2 linked regions of the Drosophila melanogaster genome follow. The protein of the gene in region 1 interacts with the protein of each later gene in a pairwise test. Each region holds a gene or a part of one and is shown in the gene's direction. Other genes may lie near its edges.

Region 1 (4,621 bases):
ATATGGAGCAATGGCTTCATTTCGAGTGACACTTGTCGCTGGAGCTCTGCGGGACTGGGTGCCTGCCAGCTCGGTGCACTTTCCGCTGCTTTATGGTCTTGCCCGTCTCCCAAAATGGCATTGGGGTCGGTATGACATTCGGACGACTATGGACTGTCGATTGCCGTCCGCTGATTGCTGATTGCCGCTGAGTTGTTTTGACAATTTAATAGCCGAACCGCTTGGCGGTGACGCTTTATGTCACAATTTGCCCCAATTAATTCATTGCGGAAATCAAGGTAATTAGCATGGAATCACATGGTCTTTTCTTGCTCTCATTCTCATTTAAACTTTACCAGGAAATATTGTTTTCTCAAACGATAAATTCAGGGCAATATATTTGATTAGAAAATACTGTTTTTGAATAAAAATTTGATTACTCAATATATATCCAAATTCAATTTGATTTTAATTATTATCGTTTTAAAAGCTTAAGCAATTTTTAATACTCTGCCAGCAATTACATATCAACCTTAAATTATCTACAGATGAGGACTAGTTCAAAACACGAATACTAAACGAAGACAATTTTGATGTTAACGACCTTCCTTTTGCATCGCTCAGTTTTTGGATTGTAAATAGAAAAAATCATATATTTTGAGAAGAGCGTCTGACTATATACATACAGCATAGTGTTATACCATATTATCACAAAGCAAATGTTTTGTATGAAAATAAATTTATACATTTTTGCCCTATGCAGGCGAAGTATCACTTCACAGTCTGCCCCAAAAGCCACTTTGCCGGGGCACTTAACACTCAGCAGAATCCAATCAAGTCGATTGATACAAGATTATGTATTGATTCGACTACTGCTTATTGAAAATTCCATAAATTAGCAAATGAAAAACAGAGCGTTTGGCGCTAATGAAATCTCGTACGTCTTTATGGCGCAACCTAAACAAAACGGCTGGAAATCTCCGATGTCCGAGCACGGAATGTGCTTAATATCATTAAAATCAATAAAATAAACAACTAATTTGATAAGCTGACAGCTGGGCTACCCGAAGTGGCGGGCTATTCGTCCGCCGTGACAATGAGGAGCGGGCTGGAAAATGCATCCCCGCGAGCTTTCAATTGGCTGCCCGTCGGTCCAATCAGCATTTGGGCCCCCTGCACAGGCGCACGCCGCACGCTGTCGGCCCACCACCCAATGGCCAACCGCAGTGGGTGTTAATTTTCGCGAAACCAGTTTGCCGAGCGAGAGGGCGCTATGGTCGGGTGGGTTCCAATTGGACTGAGTGCGCAGCCTCTGTGCTCTTCTGTCCGACTCTGGAGCATGCGAGGAGGCGGCCATTTTCTTAGAGTTGTCGCACTCGCACCCATGGCTCAGGCCTATCCGACAGAGTGGTGGCTTGTGCCGAATACACCATGGCAAGCGCAACTCACCACAGGCAGGTCATACGCCTGGCCTGCTCGCACTCGCGCTTTCGTTACCCTCTATTCATTTTACGTCGTGCATAGGTCGATCCCATTCGCACGCATGCGATCGTCGGCAGATATTTTCACGAGGCAACACAGCAGCGAGTTAGAATTTCAGGAGCATTTCAGTCCTGCTGCGCATCTTGAAACGTCAAGTCTTGGCATTCGGTTAGCGTCAAGTCTTGCTGCGATTCGAACGCCCCAGAAACGCATCGCGCGCGAGTGCATTACGTAAATAAGTATCAAGTCGCATGCGAAATATCTAAGAGCGAAATAAGCGCACAGTATATACAGCTAAGTGAGGTGACCTCAGTGCGTGATGGGCTCATTGGCCTAGCAAAGTGCGAATCGAAAACTTGTAGTTCAGTTCTTTCTGAATTAATTTTAAAAACATATAAGCGAGCAATAACACTGTAACCATGATGATGAACGCCTTCATTGAGCCGGCTCAGCACCACCTGGCCAGCTACGGGCTGCGAATGTCGCCCAACACCACCGCCAGTAACAGCAACGCGCAGCAGCAACAGCAGCAGCAACTGGAGATGACCCAACAGCAGCAGCAACAACAGCAACAACAGCAGCAGCAACAGCAACAGGATCAGGAATCCGCGGCGGCCACTGCTGCAGCCTATCAGAACTCCGGATATGGGCACTTTAACAGCTATGCCTCCCGGGACTTTTTGCTGGGCAGGAGGGAGGCCGAGTACGGTGTGGCAGGATCCGCCGGACAGGCCTCCGCCGCAGCGGATTCCATGCTCTTCTCCGGCTTTCCCGCTCAGGCCGCGGAGCTGGGCTCCGGGTTCGGACAACACCCCTTCCACAGCCACCATCACCACCATCAGATGCGAATGGGCATGGCGGATGCCTACGCCGCCGGCCACCCGTACAACCACCACGGCAACTTCCCGACGGCGGCAGTGCACCACCCGGTCGTGCACCACCCGTCCCACCACGCCATGTCCGCGATGCACCCGGCCGGAGCAGGGGCCTTCCTGCGCTACATGCGCCATCAGCCGGCCTCGTCCGCCTCCAGCGTTAAGCAGGAGATGCAGTGCCTCTGGATAGACCCCGACCAGCCGGGCCTGGTGCCCCCGGGCGGCAGGAAGACCTGCAACAAGGTATTCCACTCGATGCACGAGATCGTCACCCACCTGACCGTGGAGCACGTGGGCGGACCCGAGTGCACCACCCACGCCTGCTTCTGGGTGGGCTGCTCTCGCAACGGACGCCCTTTCAAGGCCAAGTACAAGCTGGTCAACCACATCCGCGTCCACACCGGCGAGAAACCTTTCGCCTGCCCGCACCCGGGTTGCGGCAAGGTCTTCGCCCGGAGCGAGAACCTCAAGATCCACAAGCGGACGCATACAGGTAAGTGTGGCGGTGCATTCCGCTTTATATTTAAACCATATTAAACCATTCATTAAACTAAGAAAATACTTTTATTTAGTTTTGGTTTGGCAGTCAAATTCTGTGTGTAATTATTCCTGTTTTATAAAGATCTTAATACTAATAGAAAGTCGAAGCCTTATGCAGATTTTAACCGCTTATATTTAGAATAGCACATGCTAGGTCTGCAATCTCTTAGAATTCACCTTGCGTGGGCATAACCCTTGCCCGCCTGGGCAAATCCCGGACGTTGTCGATGTGAGCGTGTTACCGACGGCAAAAGTCGTTGCAACGCCCACTACCTGGCTTAACCCGCCACTGGCCGGGCGGGTCATCTTTTATGACACCTGTAAAACCTGCGCCCAAAGCTCTTCCGCGCCCAGAAAATCCCGCAAAGATGTTGTCCTTACGGCTAGGATTACTCTACGGCTTTAGGTTGACTTCGACTTTTGGTCTTAGTATTTCCCTAAGCCTGCGACTTCTCTTGACTTTGGATTTTGACTGGCATGTATTTAACTACGTTTGGAAACTTGGTCAAATTTGTAAAGGAACTGAAAAATTTAGTTTAGCTACTCCTTTGTTTTTTATACTTTAAGCCTTGTTGTCGGCTTCAGATTTTGTATTATTTAATAATAATGGCTTACTATTACTTTGATAGCCAACCGCTCTATGCAAATTCTCAATATAATTAATTTTTCTTAAATCCATCATTAATCATGCCCATTTCAAGCATTTCTCTTTCAATTGTCTTTCAAAAATAAATTAAAATCGCTTTGCAGCTCATAGCCTGAACACTTTTGAAAAAACATAGCCATAGTTGGAGGCTTTAAAATACAATTTATGCGGTATAGTCGTGATCTATGAGAAGTCGAACTATAAAGCCAGAAACGGAGCTTAACGCAAATTAATGACTTTGATTCCAGTGGCTGTTGAACTTGTTCCATTGAAATTTATGGCTGAGCATGTAGGGCTCATTAGAAGCGGCGAAACACAGCCATTAAAATCAATTAACAAGTGGAAGTTGGGAAAGCAAACATGAAATGCGAAAACACAAAACAAAGTTTCGCATAATTGGTGAAAAGAGCGCCAATCAGGTTAATAAACTTTCCAGCAAATATCGCTTGGTCCTGGATTATCCTTGATTGACCTCAGCCTTGGCGTAATTAACTTGGAAATTGGAGGAGAAGAATGAAAATATGGCCAGCAATATTCCGCAATATCCAGCATGCTTATATTTTGTTGTTTTAATGTTGGCTTTTGGCATTTGTTGTTGCCTCTTTATTTCTATTATTTTGTAATTTGGCCTCATGATTCCAAATTGAATTAAAATAAGACGTCGGGCTTCATTATAGCTTCATCTTGTAGTTACCGCGATTATAAACTCACAAAGAAATTCATAAATCACAGAATTAGCCACACAAAAAAGCTATTTCTGTAAATCTGTTCGGACAACAGTATTTTCTTTTGCACACTCATCGAAAGGTAATTAAAATGTTTCGATTTGATTTCGAGACGCCGCCATATTGTGTTCGATTTTGGAACAATCATGTGGCATTATAATGAGTTGGTTGCTGTATGATGATATTTTTGACTAATTTCATATTTCTTTTCTCCGCCGTGATGCAGCAGAAAAGTGCATTTTAGGACCTCTGACTGATTTGTGTGTGCCTATGATTGGTTGACCTGGCTACACATTGTCGGAGATAGCCAACATATTGATTAGCTTTCAAGTGGCCGGCGCACAACTTCATTACGGATCGGGATCGAGCTGGGA
Region 2 (2,940 bases), on another chromosome or scaffold:
AATTATATTTTAAAGAGTACAGATTGTGTATTAAGTTTAATTTTTATTTATAAGTTACATAAATGAATAATTAATATTTTATGGTTTTAAATTAAATAAAGTTTTCTATTTGACTATGTAGAATCTATGTGAGCACTTGTAGCTTTCCTCATATGTATGTATATTTTAAAATTTATTGTGCAATTATGCATTATTAGTTATGATTAAACATTTTAATGGAGTTTTCTTCCGCTTTTAAGCTGTGAGTTACAAACAAATAAATCAAAAACATAAGAACGGAACCAAAAACTTATCGCTCCAAAACTTCCGCTGCACGGACGCTCATAAAATGGGGGACATTGAACTTCTGAGCGGGCTGAAAAAGGCATTGCTGAAAACTGTAAAAATACCAGCGAAGAAGCCGGAAAAAAACAGTGGAAAAAAGTCACATCAACACGAAACATTAAGCTTCACAGTCACAACATATTCGGCTCTTCGATGCATTTTCCTTAAAGTCGCCATGGAGTTCAAATCGAATGGGAGCGCACGCGCCTGCGAATATGCAATGCTGTAATACGAGACCAACACGCGATGGAGATGATGTTTGGTTACGGAAGGGGATACGGGAATTTTCCCGGGGTATTCGGGGTTCCGGAATCGGAACAGAAAATAAGCTCAACCAGACCCAAAAGGCCACCAAACGAACGGGCTATTTACGAAGGGCGGAAGTGCTTTAATTTAATGTTGGTAAAAGATAAGAAGTTAATCCGATCAAATTTTCTTGGCCTTTCCTTCATTTAATTCGATTAAGTAATAGATGAGATAGTGATGTTGGAAAATCGATGTACATGAGCTTTATAAGTAAATAAACTTGTAAAATGTACAGAATTCTTCATCCTTCAGAGTTTTTTTTACTTATTTTCTTAAACTCATAAAAATTAGGAACTTCGAGATGGATTAATTTACACTCAGCCTTACAGCTTATTTGGGTGAAAACGTGAAAAGTGTTGGGGTAATCGACTCAATTAGCTATTGCATAAGCACACTTTGCACACTCCCGCGCCAGCCAAACAAACACCAAACTCAATTAGATGCCATAACTAAATAATCACAAACACATTTACGCCAGCAAGAGCTCTTTTCAGTTGAAGCAGACCGGTTGGTAACCAAGAAACGTGGCAAAAAAAAAAGAAAAGAAAACAGAGAACCAGGTCAACAACAGAAACAACATGAGCAACAATTTTGAAACAATGAAATGACGACAACGACAGAAGCGGCAAGGCATGCCTGGAAAATTGCTTCCAAATGCTCAGAAGCCAGAGTGGAAATATGGGTAGAGTCGGAAAAGTGGGTGGCCTGGGTGGCTGGGGGACATTCCAACATGTGACGCACGTGACAAAACTTGTCAAGTGACTTTACTTCACTTTGACTGCGAATCCCGGCTCTGTTGTCCGTAAACAAGAAGACGGAATCCCGGCTGTGAAGAAAAATAGGTTTGTGTGCATTGCCCAACACAAAATGCTTAAGAAAACTCTGCTCTTGGTAAAACAATGAAAGGTGGGGCAAAGAGGAAAAATCAGTCGCGGCTTGGCTTTTCCGACTTGTTGCGCCTTCGGCTAAATTATGACATCGAGAGTTTTAGGGGAATGGGAAGTCCTTCGGGACGGACTGAAGTATTTTTGGAGGAGCAATGGAGTGGAATTTTATGGGACACACAAACAATCGGGAACGGTTTTATGAATTAAAATTCTTAAAGCGAATTAGATAAGAGGCTAAGAGGCTAACTGTATATATAGTTAATCAAATTTTAAAATTTGGAAAAAAGCATTTTAAAAGCAGGCCATGAAACCACAACATAGAAGGCCATGAAATCAAAGTTAAATCTGTAGAACTTTGTGGACCAAGCTAGTGGCTTTAGCTCATTATAGTTTCGGTTCTCCAACAGAAAACATCTATTTGTACGACTACCAAATTTCTAGGACTGAAAATCCTACTTCCGTAATCAGGCTAATGTGAGTGTGAACAACAAACGAATTTGTTTCTTGAAAATATCCTCGATTCGTTTCATTTCGTTTTCAGAATAAAATGTGCAATCCAGGAATGTGCTCGATGCCCGGCACTTGCTGTGGACCGACTGGCGGACTGGGACCCTGCCTGCTCTGCGGACCCTACAATGGCCAGTGGTTCCGTTCGGTCAACCACTGTTGCGGTCCTTGTGGCCCATATGGTTGCTGCTCATGCTACGGGCCGTATGGTGGACATTGTTAGCCTGCTTAGAAGGAATGTAGGGTTTCTTTATCCGCGATCTGGAACAGGAGCTTTAAAGATTGCAGCCGTGAGGCCTTGTCGAAGATGAGGAGCCACGCTGAAAAGTTGTCAGGCAAAGTGGATCCAAAGATTTGTGTTCGATGAAAGATTATGCCATCAGAAATAGATGTTAATAAATTATACGTATAATTCAAAAATAGACCACTTTAATTTCACTTCACATGTATTGCTATCAACAGTTAGCAAACCTAATTAAATATTTGGCATGCATTCTGTGGAAACAATCACAAAATTCCATCTCGTAATTTGCCGTTTTTGGTTTTCTTTTCAGTCCGCCGGGTGCATTTAAGGCTAAACCCCATTTGATTGTAAATATTTGGCTCGTTTACGGCTAACGATACATCGGGGACCAGCCAAAAAGACGTGTAATGCTAATGGGCCTGTTGAGTGCAAATTTGTTTACGAGTAAAACACCACTAAAACAGATGGGCTTGCTGATTGCTTTCAATTTTATTTAATCGAGGCACCCCGCATCAGATCGACCAGAAAAATTGATATCGTTAAACATAGTGAACAACAGAAACGGTAAGTTTAAAGAGTATATCATCGTGATACGGCTACTTGGTGCGTTTGAGTGCTTTGCTAAGACTGGGGAAATACTCGTCACTGTTGAGATCAGGAGCTTGAGGTTTT

What was found. The genes of interacting proteins can lie anywhere in the genome.
Region 2: the proteins of opa (region 1) and CG34168 interact in a two-hybrid assay, tested with the Drosophila melanogaster proteins (2 studies listed by BioGRID).

What each region holds. Positions count from the first base shown.
Region 1 is NT_033777.3:4,851,226-4,855,846, forward strand, and holds the start of opa (odd paired), read left to right. Parts: upstream 1-1,587; 5' UTR 1,588-1,880; coding exon 1,881-2,829; intron 2,830-4,621. UniProt on the Drosophila melanogaster protein: Transcription factor essential for parasegmental subdivision of the embryo. It is involved in the activation of wingless (wg) in odd parasegments.
Region 2 is NT_033779.5:16,134,213-16,137,152, reverse strand, and holds CG34168 (uncharacterized protein), read left to right. Parts: upstream 1-1,880; 5' UTR 1,881-1,991; intron 1,992-2,058; 5' UTR 2,059-2,064; coding exon 2,065-2,247; 3' UTR 2,248-2,439; downstream 2,440-2,940.